Arabidopsis thaliana: one gene and its partner. The protein of the gene in region 1 interacts with the protein of each later gene in a pairwise test. Each region holds a gene or a part of one and is shown on either strand. Other genes may lie near its edges. The genes, in order: CRK2 and RABA1c.

What was found.
Region 2: the proteins of CRK2 (region 1) and RABA1c interact in binary tests that used the Arabidopsis thaliana proteins (3 or more experiments, as listed by UniProt).

What each region holds. Positions count from the first base shown.
Region 1 is NC_003070.9:26,582,953-26,592,549, reverse strand, and holds CRK2 (cysteine-rich RLK (RECEPTOR-like protein kinase) 2), read left to right. Parts: upstream 1-4,921; 5' UTR 4,922-5,215; coding exon 5,216-5,984; intron 5,985-6,058; coding exon 6,059-6,172; intron 6,173-6,253; coding exon 6,254-6,393; intron 6,394-6,480; coding exon 6,481-6,691; intron 6,692-6,785; coding exon 6,786-7,020; intron 7,021-7,102; coding exon 7,103-7,253; intron 7,254-7,332; coding exon 7,333-7,662; 3' UTR 7,663-7,821; downstream 7,822-9,597. Other genes in the region: CRK3 (cysteine-rich RLK (RECEPTOR-like protein kinase) 3), read left to right, coding at 1,171-1,544, 1,650-2,038, 2,119-2,232, 2,376-2,515, 2,610-2,820, 2,914-3,148, 3,238-3,382, 3,468-3,800.
Region 2 is NC_003076.8:18,553,406-18,563,002, forward strand, and holds RABA1c (RAB GTPase homolog A1C), read left to right. Parts: upstream 1-5,654; 5' UTR 5,655-5,912; coding exon 5,913-6,133; intron 6,134-6,804; coding exon 6,805-7,234; 3' UTR 7,235-7,540; downstream 7,541-9,597. Other genes in the region: AT5G45730 (Cysteine/Histidine-rich C1 domain family protein), read left to right, coding at 1-253; AT5G45740 (Ubiquitin domain-containing protein), read right to left, coding at 3,570-3,640, 3,719-3,838, 3,922-4,044, 4,650-4,692; AT5G45760 (Transducin/WD40 repeat-like superfamily protein), read left to right, coding at 7,716-7,823, 7,926-8,022, 8,113-8,174, 8,264-8,326, 8,412-8,471, 8,574-8,630, 8,727-8,769, 8,840-8,917 and 2 more. UniProt on the Arabidopsis thaliana protein: Intracellular vesicle trafficking and protein transport.

The DNA of each region.
Region 1 (9,597 bases):
ACAGGAATAAAACTGTCATTTTCAGAATGTACAAGTAAGTCAAAATATGCGGCAAATTCAGATAAAATGGCTGATAAAAGTAAGATTGTCGATGGATAATTGTGGTGGAGAAAGAATAAAAAGAATAATTGAAGACTTTGAAGTTGCTTTGATTTAGAGACGACCTTCACAATACGGCAGACGAGAACTTACGCCATTATCCATTACGTTGCCTTGTTTTCTCAAACTATTCCTACAAAAAAACGTAAAAGAGGAAATATCCGGAAAATTACTCCGAACTTTAGAAGATTCTTGCATTGATCAAAATCTGTTTTTAATTTCATATCACTCATGAATTTGTTTGTGTTGGACTATTCAGAGTTTCAGACAGTGCAAATTAGTAAAATATTCTTACTATTACGACGTAAGAAGAAAAAGACAAAGAGGCTGGCCGACGATGGCTAGATATAATGAACTTTAGAGGTTATATGTTTATCGTTTACTGGTTTTGATCAGTTCAAACACTCGAACCGAATGGTTAATCGATAAATATACAAGTTTATTATGAACTGAACGGTTAACGGTTACTAAAATAGACTTTACCGTTAGTGACTTAGCTCAATTCCCTAAATCGAAATTCGGAAAATCTCGGTCTGGTTCGACATTCTCTATTCTGTTTAAAGTTCCATGCCTAGTAAATACGAATTGCAAATTGGCAACTACCCAACGATTGTATAACTTATATAACCGTAACAGAAATCCTTGTTTTTTCTATGTTCCGCATTGTGGGTGACAAAACAGAACATACAAAAAAGTGACAAAAGCAATGACGTCATGATGCCCCGTGCATTAAAACAGAACATAACTCCCACACGGCGTCGTTTTCTGCTTTCAATACCCCAATGCGATCGGTATCTTTCGTTGAATCGTAAGAAGACAAAAGTCCACTCTTTGACTTCTCTTACAATTGGAAAAACTCTCAAACTGGAAAATTTTCCAAGTTTTCTTCTTTTGTTGACCCAACAACCAAAATCTAAGAATTTCAATTTCAACTTCCCGATCGTGTCTCCTTCTTGATTCTCAATCACCCAATCCATTTCAAGAGAGAAGAAAAAGAAAACAGAGCAAAGATCAAAAACCTTACACAAATGCTTTCTTGTTCAATTTCAAAAGCTTAACCACTAAACCCAGATGCCGATTCTGACTCTTCTTCTTCTTATTCTGGGTTTGTTTATAAGCCCTTCTGTTTCAGACTCGAGAGGAGACACAGTGGCTCAGATATGCAACAACAGAACAACGACGCCGCAACAGAGAAGTCTCTTCGTCACCAATTTCCTCGCCGCCATGGACGCGGTCTCTCCACTAGTGGAAGCTAAAGGTTACGGACAAGTGGTCAACGGTACCGGAAACTTAACCGTCTACGCTTACGGAGAGTGTATAAAAGATCTTGATAAGAAAGATTGCGACTTGTGTTTCGCTCAGATCAAAGCTAAAGTTCCTCGTTGCTTACCTTTCCAAAAAGGTACTCGTGGTGGTCAAGTCTTCTCAGATGGTTGCTACATCAGGTTTGTTTCTCTCTCACACTCATTTCAATCCGATAAAAATCTTAACTTTATGGTTTGATTGATTCTTGCATTTGGTTATAATCGATTGTTGTATCTTTGTTTTAGGTACGATGACTACAATTTCTATAACGAGACGTTAAGCTTGCAAGACCGGACAGTTTGTGCTCCAAAGGAGATTACCGGAGTAAACCGGACGGTATTTCGGGATAACGCTGCAGAGTTGGTTAAGAACATGAGTGTGGAGGCGGTGAGAAATGGTGGATTCTATGCTGGTTTTGTGGATAGACATAACGTGACGGTTCATGGTCTGGCTCAGTGTTGGGAGACTCTTAATAGAAGTGGTTGTGTTGAGTGTTTGAGTAAAGCTTCAGTGAGGATTGGTTCTTGTTTGGTTAATGAAGAAGGTCGAGTTCTTAGTGCTGGTTGCTATATGAGGTTTTCTACTCAAAAGTTTTATAACAATTCTGGAAATTCTACATCAGATGGTAATGGTGGTAAGTAGAATAAGCTTGAAATATGATTTAAATTTAGTATATGTTTGTAACATTTATTTAGCAACATTCTTGTTGATCAGGTCATAACCATTTGGGTGTGATTTTGGCGGTGACATCTTCGGTTGTGGCTTTTGTTCTGTTGGTCTCTGCCGCTGGTTTCTTGCTTAAAAAGAGACACGCCAAGAAGCAAAGAGGTTTGTTCCATAAAGAATTAGTTAAGATTTATGTTCCAGAAATAGCTTAGTTTTCAAGATTAGTCATAGAGTTTGAGTGGTTATAATAGTGAAGTCTTGATCTTAACAGATATTTGTGTGTGTGTGTGTGTAATGTAATGTAGAGAAGAAGCAACTAGGGTCATTATTCATGCTTGCGAACAAATCTAATCTCTGTTTCTCCTATGAGAATCTCGAGAGGGCTACCGATTACTTCAGCGACAAAAATAAGTTAGGACAAGGAGGATCTGGCTCTGTCTATAAGGTAAGTTCTGTTCTTATTATACATTTTCTAGAGTTTCATGTTGGAATGTTCCTACTTCTCAATTGGTTAACTCTTTGCCCTTTTTGTGGAGTAGGGAGTTCTTACTAATGGTAAGACTGTTGCAGTAAAGAGACTGTTCTTCAACACAAAGCAATGGGTGGATCATTTCTTCAACGAAGTTAATCTAATAAGCCAAGTAGACCACAAGAACCTTGTTAAGCTCTTGGGATGCAGCATAACTGGACCAGAGAGCCTTCTGGTCTATGAATACATTGCAAATCAAAGCCTCCACGACTATCTTTTCGGTTTGTTTTTGTCAATCCTAAACCTTTTACTACAGTTACCATGTCTTGATGGATCTTTTATTGACTTGTTCTTGTTGCTTTGTTTTGGTTCAGTAAGAAAAGATGTTCAACCGTTGAATTGGGCAAAGAGATTCAAGATTATACTTGGTACAGCAGAAGGAATGGCGTATCTTCACGAGGAGTCAAATCTTAGAATCATACATAGAGATATTAAGCTGAGTAATATCCTTTTGGAAGATGATTTTACTCCAAGAATTGCTGATTTTGGATTGGCTAGATTGTTCCCAGAGGACAAGACTCATATCAGCACTGCCATCGCCGGTACACTGTAAAGTCTCAAAACTTATCTTTGTAACTTTAATATCTCTCTCTACCGTTTCTTGTGTTGTTTCTGAAGATTCTTACTTGTGGAAACAGAGGCTACATGGCACCAGAATATGTAGTACGAGGAAAACTAACTGAGAAAGCAGACGTTTATAGTTTTGGAGTTCTTATGATTGAAGTTATAACCGGAAAACGTAACAATGCCTTCGTACAAGACGCTGGTTCGATCCTACAATCGGTAAACTAACTCTCTACAAGTAGTTCAAACATTTTCTTGATTTTAGATCAAATCCTTTTTCTTGAATCTTGAAAACATATTTTAGGTATGGAGTCTGTACAGAACAAGCAATGTGGAAGAGGCAGTGGATCCAATCTTAGGTGATAACTTCAACAAGATAGAAGCGTCACGGCTACTTCAAATTGGGCTTCTCTGTGTTCAAGCAGCGTTTGATCAGCGGCCTGCGATGTCTGTGGTTGTGAAAATGATGAAAGGGAGTTTGGAGATTCATACGCCGACGCAACCACCGTTTCTGAATCCAGGAAGTGTAGTAGAGATGAGAAAGATGATGATGACTCCCACGACGAATCAGTCTAATTCTTCAGGATCAAGGAGTGACTACATAACCGAGGGTTCGAGTTTCTTTGAACCTAGATGAGGTTTTAGATCGTGTTAGATATATCAGTATCCTTTCGTGTGGATTCTGAATCATCTTGTGTCATATGTACAAAAATTGAGATGCCAATTAATCGTGTGTTAGCTAGGAACTGAGGGTTACTTATGTGCCACGACAATGTCATAGAAGCTAGGAAGTGAACAATGTAGAGCTTACATGACGGGGACAGATTCCGGTTTAGCCTCGGTTTTGATTGTAGTGATTCGGTTTACGGTTCAGTAGTTTTATTTTGTGTGTTAATTTTGAGTAGCTTTGTATATTAGTAAGCGGTTTTTGTGTTTGTTCTCGTTTTAACTTTACAAAAAGAGAAAGAGTAAATGTCATATTTAAATAGAAAAATGCAACCACAAATGCAAAGAAATTCGAGTAAAACCAAATAATGCCATAAGGATATTTACCTAAGAATCAAAATATGAAACATATTAAATGTACACAAGAAAAAAATCAAATCACTAAAAATTCACTAAATTTATTACCGCAAAGTTTGGATCATGATCTCCTAATTTTTGCACAAGTGGATTCGAATCAAGGACTTTTTATCAGTGTTTTTGTTTTCTTTCAAGGAAGCCATAGGAGACTACTAGATAGAAACACATATACTACATATGTCTTTATTATAGCCAACTAGATTTAACATTTTTAGAATTGAATGTCCAACTACTTCTCATTTTTCTTTGCAATTGATCTTGAATAAAACTTTGACCATGGCAACATGTAAATGGTATTTTGTTATATATATTTTTATTATTTGTACAACTTTTATTGTACTATACCAACTAGGCCTACTAAATCAACCCAACAAATTGACAAAAAAAAAATCAACCCAACAAACCTATTTCTTTATTTAAAGTAGTCTAACGTCACTTTATCCATTTTCTTGAATGTCATCTTACTAAACACTACGCATATGTGACGTTTTCTTTTTTCTTTAACTAATCAGAAAATTGAATTTTTCATGATACCGGTAAAGAGATTTATCCAATTAAACCGAACCGGCTCCACATAAGATAAGCTCTATTAATTATTAGTCCACTGGTTTTTAGGTTTATGAAAACGACAAATATTTGAATGAAGACAACGACTTCAACAACATGATCGAGCTGGTTTGGTTTCCAAGTGTGAATTCAAGACTAAGAAGAAATCCAACAATCTCCATTATCAATTTTTTTTATTAACTTTTTGACTAAACCAGTAGAGAGAGAGAGAGAAAGACAGCAAATTTGGTTGACTCTAACAAACCAATATCATCAAAGTCAAGCAGTTGAAAATTCTTCAATTTCATCATCTCCAATTCTTAATCTCTCTGCTTCTTCTTTCTTCACAACTTGAAACAGAACACAAAACCCTTGATGAGGGAATAAAAAAAGGAGATCTCTTTCTCAATCAAACAAAACAAAATGAAGAAAGAACCTGTCCATATCCTTCCTCTGTACCTTCCATGTCTCTTGATGTTTCTTCTTTCATCACTCCGTCAAATCACCGGAGACGCAAGGGCTAGAGCCGTTAAAGTCACTTGCTCACCTTTGCTTGAGCACAACGAAACCGCTTATGTCCCAAATTTCGTAGCCACAATGGAGAAAATCAGCACACAAGTACAAACTTCCGGTTTTGGAGTTGCTCTCACCGGTACAGGACCAGACGCTAACTATGGTCTTGCGCAGTGCTATGGTGATCTTCCTTTAAACGATTGTGTACTCTGTTACGCGGAAGCAAGGACGATGCTTCCGCAGTGTTATCCTCAGAACGGAGGTAGAATCTTTCTTGATGGATGTTTTATGAGAGCTGAGAATTATAGTTTCTATAATGAATACAAAGGACCTGAAGATAGCATCGTATGTGGAAACACGACGAGAAAGAATAAGACTTTTGGTGATGCGGTGAGACAAGGGCTGAGAAATGCTGTTACTGAGGCTTCTGGGACTGGAGGGTACGCTCGTGCGTCTGCAAAGGCGGGTGAATCTGAATCTGAATCAGCGTTTGTGTTGGCGAATTGTTGGAGAACTTTGAGTCCTGATTCTTGTAAACAGTGTTTGGAGAATGCCTCTGCTTCTGTGGTTAAAGGATGTTTGCCATGGTCAGAAGGACGTGCGCTTCACACTGGATGTTTCCTTCGGTACTCTGATCAAGATTTCTTGAATAAGATACCAAGAAACGGAAGATCAAGAGGTAACACAATAAAAAGATTCATGCTTTCTATAGAATCTCATTCGCTTGATGGTCATAAGTAATTGTTTTTGCAGGCTCTGTGGTAGTGATTGTGGTGTCAGTACTTAGCTCTGTGGTTGTCTTCATGATTGGAGTAGCAGTAAGTGTTTATATCTGCAAACGTCGGACCATAAAGAGGAAGAGAAGAGGTAAGATTAGTTTCTTGATTTGTGATGAATTGGTTTAAGAAGGATTGAGTGTTTTTAACCGAGATCTTTGGTGCTTAACAGGATCAAAAGATGTTGAGAAAATGGCGAAAACACTAAAAGACAGTAGCTTGAATTTCAAATACTCAACACTAGAGAAAGCCACAGGTTCTTTTGACAACGCGAACAAGCTTGGACAAGGCGGATTTGGAACTGTCTATAAGGTATGTGTGTGTATGATCATGTCTCTCTTTCTATACCTTCCTGTAAAGCAAATGAGTGATATAGTGGTATCTCTCTGGCTTGTTTAGGGGGTTCTTCCAGACGGAAGAGATATCGCTGTGAAGCGGTTATTCTTTAACAACAGACATAGAGCAACCGATTTCTACAATGAAGTCAACATGATCAGCACTGTTGAACATAAGAACCTTGTTAGGCTGCTTGGTTGCAGCTGCTCAGGACCAGAGAGTCTCCTTGTCTATGAATACCTTCAGAACAAGAGCCTTGATCGATTCATCTTTGGTAACTACTACTAATAATACTATATGATGAGTTTTTATTGTTGAATCTTGAATGCAGCAGCACACTAAACCTGTCTTCATTATTACTTTTGCAGACGTGAACAGAGGGAAAACATTAGACTGGCAGAGAAGATACACGATCATCGTTGGAACCGCTGAAGGATTGGTGTATCTGCATGAGCAGTCGTCTGTGAAAATTATTCACAGAGACATAAAAGCAAGTAATATTCTGCTAGATTCAAAGCTTCAAGCTAAAATCGCCGATTTTGGTCTGGCGAGATCATTCCAGGACGATAAGAGCCATATTAGCACTGCCATTGCAGGGACCTTGTAAGTATATATTCAGAAAAATGTACCATTTCTTCAAAAAGATATGAATGTTTGAGCTGATCCAATACTTGTGAAACTGCAGAGGTTATATGGCTCCGGAGTACTTAGCACATGGTCAGCTAACAGAGATGGTAGACGTTTACAGCTTTGGAGTTCTTGTACTAGAGATTGTAACTGGAAAACAGAACACCAAAAGCAAAATGTCAGATTACTCAGACAGTTTGATCACAGAGGTAAGTTAGACATATTTTGTCTATGGGTCTGCAGGTTTCACTTCTCAAACTAATTGTGGTGTTATGTTTTTTATTGAAGGCATGGAAGCATTTTCAGTCAGGAGAGTTGGAGAAAATATATGATCCAAACCTCGATTGGAAGAGTCAGTATGACAGTCACATCATCAAGAAAGAGATAGCAAGAGTTGTTCAAATAGGGCTATTGTGCACTCAAGAGATCCCTTCGCTAAGACCACCGATGTCTAAGTTATTACATATGCTAAAGAACAAAGAGGAGGTCTTGCCATTGCCGAGTAATCCTCCGTTTATGGATGAAAGAGTCATGGAACTTCGAGATGGTTCTGATGGTGATTCAGCTGGTTGTGCATCTCTTGCCACTGTCTCACAAAGTTCCTTTTATGGTAGATGAGCTTTGAAGAAGTGTATAAGAAGAAGAGAATACAAAATCTTTGATCTTTGAGCAGAAACTAAAATTTTGTGTATAAACCAGTGAGAGAAGCTAGATAGTATAGGTAAGTTATATCTTATGTATCATACTTGATAACAAAAAAAAAGTACTCAATAATTCAAGCTCTAGGTGCGATTTCTTCAACCAACCCATAGCTTCAAACATTTATCTTTAATAGTTTGCAAGCTTATAAACGGACTTGCGAGTTTGCAAGAGAGAAGACAACAGAAACAAAGAATGAAATGTCTGAGAATTTCCCAACATATGCCATCTTCAAAAAAATGTTATCCTCATCCACACCAGACTTGCAAACATATAAGATTGGTGGTTCAATGCAGCAGTTTAAGGTAGGTACTCGAGCTCAAGCTTTGTTGTTGTTTGTGCTCCTGCTTTCTTGTTGTGATCTCAGAACCAGGCTGCTTCTATCTGGACACATAGATCAGAACTTAGAAACTATGTGCTCCTGCTTTCTTGTACGGGATCTCAGAACCAGGCGGGCTTCTCTCTGGACAAATAGAGCAGCATTGGTAGGTTGATGTCAACGTGTGTTGTATTTGTCAAGTCCTCAGAAACTGGCTTCTGCTCCACAAACCAAGACTACCTGTAGCAACCACCACAACATATGTTAGGAACAGACAAATTTTTGTATACAAAGAAACCATTTAGAATAAAAGTAGCAATGGAGTTGAAATTATTCAACTTCTTAAATTGATCATCATTCATGTTCTCTCTTACCTTTTGATATATAATATTTTGTGAGCGAAAAAGATGATTCTTTGTAAACGTTATATCGAAAAAAAGTTTCAACCAAAACGTAACTTCCTTTTTGGTTAGATTGATATAATTATTCGTAACTGGAAATCGAATCTAATTTAGATTTCCTCTACAATATCAAATCCCCAACGGTTAGATTAACAATAAACCAAAAAAAAACCATCCTTATAAATACACACACTTAGATCACGCATTCTCTTCTTCTTCATTCATGAGAAATCAAAATACGCTCTATTCTCACGTCCTTCTTCTTCGAGAAACCAAAATCATTCATCGTTCCCATCTTTTCATACCTGTTCGCTTGATGATGATCCATGTAATCCTCGAGTTCATCATCTCAGAATCGTAATTGATTCTCTCACGTCCTCTCTTTCTTGACCTAATTGAGAAGGAAGAGATCGGGGGCAGTGAAAGCGAGGAGCACCTAAGAAGACGATTCCAGGACCTAATCTAGAAGGAAGAGATCGGGAATCCAAGTACGATCAACTTTTGATCAAAGACAGAGGAAATTATACAATAGACAGAGGAAGATTCCGGCGAAACTCCAAATTTCTCCGGTTTAACACACCAAACGGGGGAAGATGAATTGCGATGATAGGAGACGACAAGTATAGAGAAGAGTCAAAAACGAATGAAGAAGACGGAGAATTTCGGAGGAGTTGCAACAAAGACGCAGCAGCAACTAAGGGCTTTTCAGACGAGTTCACGGTGGTCTTCGAATGGGCTTTTTTCATTGGGCTTTCTTTGCTACAAAATCCAACAAGGTATTATTTTTCTTCAATTATTATTTTTTTTTCTTTTCTCTAAAAAATATTTTTTAGTAAAATTATAATTAAATAATAATAGTTTTCACTAAAAATTTAGAAACAATTTAAAACTTAAACTTTAAGATAAATAATTCTTAACTTTTAACTAAAACCATGTATTTCACTATTATTTTTTTAAAATTAGTTTAAGTGTTAAATTTTAAAAACGTCGGGAACTAACCGCGCCTAGGCATCCCGTCCTTAATTGGTCTGTAAGTCTTGAAGTGTTCGAAGTTCGGTAATGTTTTCACGTAATATAGATTTGACACTTCAACTCATTTTTAAAAAATAATAATGATTTTCACTAAAAATTTAA
Region 2 (9,597 bases), on another chromosome or scaffold:
CCATATCGAGTGTGTACTTGGAGACATGTGTTACTTAAAGCCAGGGAACAAATACTTGGGAGGTGAACTAGTTCCCAATCATGGTATGACTAGACCTATTTGCATAGTCTGTGAAAAGCGTTGCATGTTCCCTTTCTTTCTAAAGGGTATTGCATATTCAGATTCAACTGTTGTATACGCTTGTTCAAGAAAGTGTGCATACCGAGGCCACGACCGTTGGGAGGAGTGGTATAGTAAAGTTCACTGTGAGTAATGAGTATGTCTGAAAGATCCACAAGGGGAAGCTATATGATGATGTATCAGAGTATATTTACGTTTGCTTGATATCTTCTGTATCTTTTCTTTCTCCTATTTTCTTTCTTTTCATGTATTTGGGATTCTTCTAGAATCTGAGTTAATTTGTTTTCGGATCCTGTAGAAACCAGTGTGAGGGGTTTATAAATAGGATCTATTTGCTTCTATGTAATGCAGTTTTTTTTTAATAATAATAACAATAGAGGAATGATTATCTTCAGTTCCTTTAAGTTTCATGTATGCAAATCCTAATCAAAGCTCCAAAATATTTAAGCGACCCTTTTGTCTCAAGTAATTTATTAGTCATGTAAGAGAAAGAGTGATGGAGCATATATGATGCCTATTCGTATTCCTGCAAATTTTATAGTTGTGTGTGTGTATATATACATTGCATAAGATAGTTGTCAACAATAGCGGATCTAGAGAAATATATAGTCTGGGGCACTATTTTTTTAATATATATTTATCAAAAATATTATACATAAAATTTAATTTTTACAATTTATGTAGGTATATATAACATGAATATAGAATTTCGTAATTATTTTCATATATATATTAACATTTAAGATATAACACAAATAATATTTAATCAGATCACAAAGAAATCTTATTATATAAAGTATGGTTTTCAAAGTTGCTAACTCATAGGATTGTGCCACGTGTCAAGTCAAACGATCAGATGTTTACATGTGTCATTCAAAATTTAACTTTTTAATTCTCTAAGAAAATAGAAAATCTTAAAAAGTAAACAAATTTACATATACTAATTTATATGTCTATATATTTATAAACAATTAACATTTATTCAACAAAAGGAAAATTAACAAATTTGTCTTTAACTCATGTAATCATAAGTGAAAATAGAACATTTTGAGAAAAATAGCTTAGCTTACAGGATTTAACTTTTCAATTATTTTTATTTATTAATTTTAACTCATTTAATATTAATTTGCATGATGTAAAATTAACTTACGAGATTACGGCATATATAGAAAATATATTTTCAACAATGTTTGGTTTCTAAATATTTTTGTGGATTTTTTTTTTTATATTAATTATTAGCCCTAGGCGTTTGGGTATTCGGGTCGGGTATTTAGGGTTCGAGTTTTCGGGTTTAGAAGTTTAGGACCCGTTCGGGTAATTTAAGGTTTTGGGACATTTATTCAACAAAAGAAAAATTAACAAATTTGTCTTTAACTCATGTAATCATATATATGAAAGTTGGCCAACTCTCTCCATATGGGTGACACATCATCACACAAGAAAATAACATGTGTCATTTAATATTGATTAAATTAAAATTAGCAAAATTAATTGAGAGAAAATCAAAAGTCTCATATTGTGTTAAATCCTCCATTAATTCATTTCTTAAATGATTTTTTCAAAATATAAATAAAAATAAAATTACTTATTTAAATAAATCATTTACTACTTTTATTTTACTTTTATTATTTTATATTTTAAAAAAATTTAATGGTCAATGGTCATCACTCTATAATGACTAAATAGTTGTTTGTGTTGTAGTTTATTTGTTTGCTACCTAATATTAGTGTAGTTATTTTACCTTGATTTTTTTAATTATTATTACGTTATGGTTCATATCTTATCATATGAAATTATGTATTTTCATTTTTGTATCTTTAGGTAAGTTCGTAACATTGACATTCAATATTTTCAAGTAATAGACTTTTGAGACGTTAAACATACCACAAAATTCAAAACAAATCCATTTGTCTCTTACGGCTATATGCAATAGTATAAAATCTAAAAAGTGTTACTAAAATAACTCTTTAATTTTTGCTTCTTTTTTTTTCATACGAAAACTCTTGATATCAAAATATCTTATATTCTTGTTGTGTGTATTCATGATAATGAACAAATTTTAGAATCTTGGATATAAAAATAATCAGATTATACATGAAAATATATAAAAATTGATATTTAGAGTCAAAAATGAATCTAACAATAAAAATGTAAGTACATAAGATGAGTCTAATTTTACTAAGTATAAAATAACAAACAAAAAATAAACATAAATTAGCGACAAAAATAATTAACATATTTTTATCTAAAGAATTTTCAAAACAAACCCACGCGTAGCGTGGGAATTCATCTAGTCATAAGTGAAAATAGAACATTTTGAGAAAAATAGCTTAGCTTACAGGATTTAACTTTTCAATTATTTTCATTTATTAATTTTAACTCAGTTAATATTAATTTGCATGATGTAAAATTAACTTACGAGATTACGCTATATATAGAAAATATATTTTCAACAATGTTTGGTTTCTAAATATTTTTGTGGATTTCTTTTTTCTATTAATTATTAGCCCTGGGCGTTTGGGTATTCGGGTCGGGTATTTCGGGTTAGGGTTTTCGGGTTTAGAAGTTTAGGACCCGTTCGGGTAGTTTAAGATTTCGGGTCGGGTTCGGGTTCGGATTCGAGTTTATTTATATATTGAAATATCAAATTTTGTGTGCAAATCTATTAAATTACTTCAAAATTTCAAAAATTCTCAAAACAACACCAGTAGTTTTGCTTGAATATATCTAAAAAGACACAAAAATAACTAAAATATCCAAAAAATCCTAATATTTTCTATATATAAGTGTAAATATAACTAATATATACTTATATTTGAAATATGTTTGGATACCTATTCGGGTTCGGGTTCGAGTTTTTCGGGTTTTGAAGTTTAGACCCGTTCAAGTATTTGAAAATTTTCGGTACACCCGCCTAAATAGGCGGGCCTTATCTAGTATCAACATAAACTTTAACTAAATAAGGAAGTTTGAGCTAAGTGTAACATTAGATAATTCAAATTAATGTTTGTGGTAGAAGAAAAAGACAATGTTAAAAAAAAAAAGGTATCTGCTACCTAGACTCGAACCCAAGCACGGATTGAAAGAGTGTGGGGACACAACCACTAACGCTAGCTTCAAATATATCAGTTGTATTCCAAGATAAACTTTATAAACCTTGTGTAGGGCACGTGCCCTACCTACCCACAACGTAGATCCGCCCCTGGTTGTCAAAAAGACTTCATAAGATCATTTTGACCACAAAAGTTCACAACTCTTGGCTCTGTACATTTGTACCTCAACCACCATCTCTCACTTTAGATTCCAGTAACTATACAGAGAGTGTCTCCTACTAATATACCGTGTTTCTATTCACTATCAATTGCAAAAAGTATTGAATATGAGAGACTTACTTCAACTTCTAGTCCTCTTCTACTACTTACTAAGTATTGTGTCAATGTTCTTGGAAGTTACTGTCCTTCCTCTCGAATCAGATTCGTGGGCTCACTTAGAACGTACCTAGGAAGCTCATATCTAGCACCTGCATTGAATAAGAGCAAGTCATTAAGGTAACAAAACAAGAAACGAGAGAAACGAATCAGAATTGTGTATTACAAACCTCTTTCATCCCAGCACAATGTTAGGTCACGGTTCTGAACAATCACGCCTGCACTGTCAACAATAGTTTGTGCTAGTTTCAAGTCAGCTTCAGCAGCAGCTCGAAGTGCTTCCCATATCTCTGGTTTTCAGTAAATTTCGCTCAGTTTCCAAATGTACATAGTGCGATGCAGCAGATTACAAGAAAGAGAGATATATATATACCTCTTTGACCACCATAGTGTGGAGAGGTGTCCCAAAATTCCTCACGCATGTTCGTAAGTTGTGCCCTTGTGATTGGCTCAGTATGTGCCCACGGTTTAGGTTTCATGATTTTCTTCCTTTTTGCTGTGTCAAACGTACAAAACTCATAAGAGAATGATACAATATAAACTACCACCAATTTTAAAACAGTTCTTTCAGTAACACCAATATTATAGCCATCTACTTCAGAAGATCATCACAGTTTCAATTTCATCAAGACAACAAATACAGTATAAGGCAGAACGAATCAGATTATATTGTCTATTGTTCACAGAACAATTTTTCTTGGTAAAAATGGAATGTTATAACATTAGTAAACGGCCATTTCATTTCAATCATACCATCGATAACAACTTTCTCTGATCCAACATTCTAATTCTGAGCAGTAGAAACAATGTTGAAGAGCATTCTAATTCTCTGCTGAACTAATTCTGAGCTTCAAAATTTGGAATCTTTAACGAATCACAAACATGTCAACACCACAATAAACTGATATTTCCTTCGAAATCACTCCAAGAATCATAACATTTGCAAGATTAGTTCATGTTAACACCTCAAAACTAGAACTATCACCAAGAATCAAAACATTACAACACAAGTATAAATCGTAGCCCAAATTCTGAGAACAAATTCAGCGAGACAAACGGAGTGCGGAATTAAAGGTTTAAGAGAGTATCGATTCCACTAACCTCCGCCTTCATTTCTGGCCTGAGAAGATCCGATACAACCCATTCTCGAACCGTTGAGAGTCGCGTTTGATTAGGTGAAAATTGGAAGTCGCTTCGAACAAGTAAAGTAAATGCCAGTACAAACTCGACCGTCGGGAACGAAACGGAGAAAGATAGCCGCCGATAAGAGTTTCACGGCGGGAGAATCGCCGGAGAAGTCTGCAAGAGTCGTCTTCAAGGTCAAATTCTGTTTTGACTGCCAAATTAGGCCATGAATGTTTTGTTGATTTTGGTGGGTTTTTGGATTTTGGATTGTGGCTTTTGGTTTTTTGTTTTTGATTTTATGAGTTTTTGATTTTGGTGGAGATTTTAGATTTTGCAAAATCTTAAATGGTAACTTTTCTAGTTTTTGATTTTTATATAATTATTATTTAGAAACGTTTTAAAATTATTTATTTAAAACTTTATTTTTATTTTTAAAAACAAAAAAAAAAGAGTTTACGATAGAATTTGTTGAAAATCCCAAAAAAGTGAATTTTGGATTTTAAGAACAAATGACTAGAATCTTTTAAATTTTGAATTCCCTATAATTTAGGAAATTAACTTTTTACAAAATCATGAATGGATGAAAAAGTGGATTTTGTAAAATCAAAAGCCAAAATCAACTTTAAAAACTAGTACCATTCAAGGCCTTAGTTTGTTAGAGAGAAGAAAGTGAAAACAGATCTCCCCGATTTTATTTATAGTCACTTTACTTGCCACGTCATATTATTCTGGATTAGTATATTATATCTGTTTGAATTAATCGTCAGCGTCTGTAGTCCAACGGTTAGGATAATTGCCTTCCAAGCAATAGACCCGGGTTCGACTCCCGGCAGACGCATTCTTTTTTATCATTTTAATCAGTTTAGAAAAACATAAAAGATAAAGACAAATGTGAATTGACGAATACGTCCTCGTCTTTATCGAAGCGAGCAAGGTAATAGATCAGAACGCGTTAACAGGGCAGTTTAGTAAATTTGGCCACACAAATGTTAGATTTCTTTGTGATAAAGACAGTACACAAGTCCTTTGTCTTTCTCGTTTGATATTTTCCAATTCCGCGTCTTTCTCTGTTGAAATCGAAAAAATTTTCAAAACAAAATCTAAGGAAAAAAGAGCAACAAGTTTCAAATCTCATTTGGGTTTTTCATTTTGAAAAGAAGGACCCATTTTTATCTCTCTCTTTGTTTTGTTTTCTCGAATCTGAAGGAGTAAAGTTAAAAGCTTTGAAGGAGAGAATCAATGGCGGGTTACAGAGCAGATGATGAATACGATTACCTATTCAAGGTTGTTCTGATAGGTGATTCAGGTGTGGGCAAATCCAATTTGCTTTCACGATTCACGAAGAACGAGTTTAGTCTCGAGTCAAAATCCACGATCGGGGTCGAGTTCGCGACTCGGAGTTTGAATGTTGATGATAAAGTCATCAAAGCTCAGATTTGGGATACTGCTGGTCAAGAAAGGTCTCATCTTTTTCAACCACATTGTTCATTTCTCGATCTGGTTTCTTATATTAGAACATTTTGATTGAAGTTTTGGGGTTTATGGTTTTGTTTGGTTGCCAAAGACAGTAAATTTTCAGCTTAGGTTAGATCTGTATCAATTGATTTAGATCCATTGGTATTGATCACTTTTATAAGAAGAGATCTGGATTAGTATGTGATTTTGACAACTTGGGTTTTGTGTAAGATAGGAGAATCCTATGATTATGATTATAAAGTTATCAGCTTTATCAAATTTCTTCTGTTGTTTTTGCTATTTTAGGTTTATGTGAGAGAGCTTGATTGGTTTCAGTAACTTCATTTCTACGATTCTTAGCTCTTCTTTCTCAGATTTCACCTAAGATTCTTCAATCATTATCGATTTCTTCTGTTGTTTTTGCTTAGTTTATTTATGTAAGAGAGCTTGATTGGTTTTAGTTGGATTCTTAAACTTTCATTTGAAGCTTTTACTTGGTCTTAATTTCAAAATTGAAAAGCTTCTTGCTTTGTATGATTTGCTATTCTCCATTTCTCTGATCAGTTTTGTAAAGCGTGCATAGTCTGAATTCGAAACTGTAAAGCTTCTTGCCTTTTTTGTGTTCCTGATGTTTCGGTTAACTTAATTCTCTGTTTCGTTGACTTTGTTTCAATAGGTACCGAGCCATCACTAGTGCGTATTACCGAGGAGCTGTTGGAGCGCTTCTTGTCTACGATGTAACCCGACACTCAACATTTGAAAACGTTGAGACTTGGCTGAAAGAACTCAGAAACCACACTGATCCAAACATTGTAGTCATGCTCGTGGGCAACAAATCTGACCTTCGCCATCTCGTGGCTGTTCAGACTGAAGATGCTAAGTCATTCGCCGAGAAAGAATCTCTCTACTTCATGGAAACCTCGGCTCTCGAAGCCACCAATGTTGAGAACGCTTTCGCCGAAGTCCTCACTCAGATTCACCACATTGTGAGCAAGAAGGCGATGGAAGCTGCGAGCGAATCCGCTAATGTTCCATCGAAAGGAGACAAGATCGATATCGGTAAAGATGTTTCAGCTGTGAAGAAAGGTGGATGCTGCTCGAACTAATCAGAGAGTAGAATTATTGTTAACAACCTAAGGATCGGTTTTTGTTAACGGTTCTATCGAATATGAAGATTGCTTTTAGGTTGAGTAATGCCCATTTGGTGTATTTCTGTTATTTATCTGATCTATCAATGTTATTGTTTGAAAATGCTATGTCAAATTTTCAGAACCCTAAATTATATTTATCTCAAACAATAGAATTGTTGAAAAGAAAAGATAAAAATAGTTTCTGCCTTTGATGATTTCAGTTTGGTTGAACATAATTTTCGGTTTGATTTCGTTTCACCGTATCGGTTCATTTTGGTTAAGTGGTACTAAAATCGATTTCTGTTAGGTTGGAATTTTGTTGTTTCGATTTTTTTGGTACAAAACCGAAGGATTACCAAAATATCCGGTTTAGTTTTGGTTTGTTTCGGTTAGCCTTTTTTAGCTCAATTTAGAGCTTGAAACTGAGCAATCGCCGGAGAAACTCTCACTCACAGTTATGGCTACGGCAATGGAAGAGCCAAGGAAGCTGAGAGGCCACAAATCAACTGCCACTTGTTGTATAGCTTCTCGTGACCGGCCTGGAATTGTTCTCACTTCCGGCGAGGTTTCTTAATCTCTAATTCAAACCTCTTTTTTCCGATGAATTTAGGTTTCGTTATTGTAGTTACTTCGCAAGATTCATAGTTTTCCGATCATACGATTATAGGATGGTTGCATTTGCTGGTTTGATTTGCGATGTAAAGATGTTCAATTCATCATCGATGTTGGAACAGAACCAGTTTCATCTCTTTGTTTCAAGACAGGTTTTGTCTCTTTGTGTTTTGTCTGTTTCTCTCTCTTTCAATTTCTTCTCTTTGTTGCAATTTGGTGATAACTTTTATTTGATTTTTCAGGTAATGAGAACATTCTCTATGCTTCTTGTGGAAACGAAATCAAGTCTTTCGATGTTCATACGGTAATTTAAAATGTTCAAACTTTGATTAACTAACTATAACCATATCCTTCACTTAGTTTTAAAGCTTCTCTCTTTATGCAATTTCATAGCTAAGTGCTACTTCTTGGAAGCCATTAGAGAGTTACAATTACAACAAAGATGAAGTTAACCAGGTAGAGATACTAAAAACTCGACTTTTCGAAAAAGTTATCATATTTACCTATGACATTGATGTTGACATCTTTTGATTTGTTAAAGGTAGTATGTAACGGAAGGTCGTCTTTTCTTGCTTCTGCAGATGATTCCGGCGATGTTAAGGTACACTCAATAGTTGTTCTTAATACTTAAAACTCTTAAAGATTACATAAACATGAATTTTGGTGGGACGGTTCTCGGTTTGATTAGTTTGCTTGTACACAGATCATCGACCTTGGTCAGAAATGCCTTTATAAAACCCTTAGAGCTGGTCACACAAGTGTATCCTTACTTCGTTTTTTTTACCCATTCTCGTCTATGAAACTCTACTAGCCTCGAAAAAATGTCTCAAATCAACACCTTAATGAGACATATAAGATATGTAGTTCTGTACAATTCATTCCATGGAGACCTTGGGAAGGTAACTAATATCTTATTGTGATTTGTTATTATATATACACATCTCTTCTAAAGTGTCTAATTTCTTTCAGTTATAACTGGTGGACTTGATTCAAAGCTTGTTTTATGGGATTTCTCAAAAGGTCGCTCGCAAAAGATTATAGACTTTGGTAAAGACTATGCCACTAATTCTGGTTTCTTTAGCCATATATATATGCAACAAATCTGATTTTGCAAGTCATTTCTGTAATCTTTCAGGATCTGATACAAATAATAACTCGGGACAATGCCTAAACCCTGCGTTTGTTCACTCAATAGCAATACCGGAAATGGACATGGTTGATAAGTTAGACAAGATATGTGCGGTTGCTAGAGGTGATGGAATTGTCAATTTGATCAATATCGAATCAGAACTTTCCCGAAAAGGAACATCATCAAAAGGAAGTAGCAGCAGCAGCAGCAACAATGTGGTCAAAAGGGTTTGTTTAGACTACTCTGTTGGTGGACACAATTCTGCTGTTTCTTGTGTAGCCTTTTCTCTGTTTCAGGAGAAAGGTAGATTCTTAATCTCTGGTGGTAATGATAAAACAGTCAAAATCTGGGATTGCTTTAAATGTCTTGATCCAAACAACAACAACAATAACAGTGATCTCCTCCATTTGAATATTAACCTAAGCAAGAAGGTAACTAAAAGCTCACATTGTTCTTTTTGCTCTTTTCTCTTTTGTCTGATTCTGAACATTTGTTGGTGTTTCTTAAACAGGTGAATTGGCTTTGCACGAATCAATCTGATTCTGAGAATCTTGTAGTGTGTGACACAACAAGAGTAGTTAAGGTTTACTCAATCTCT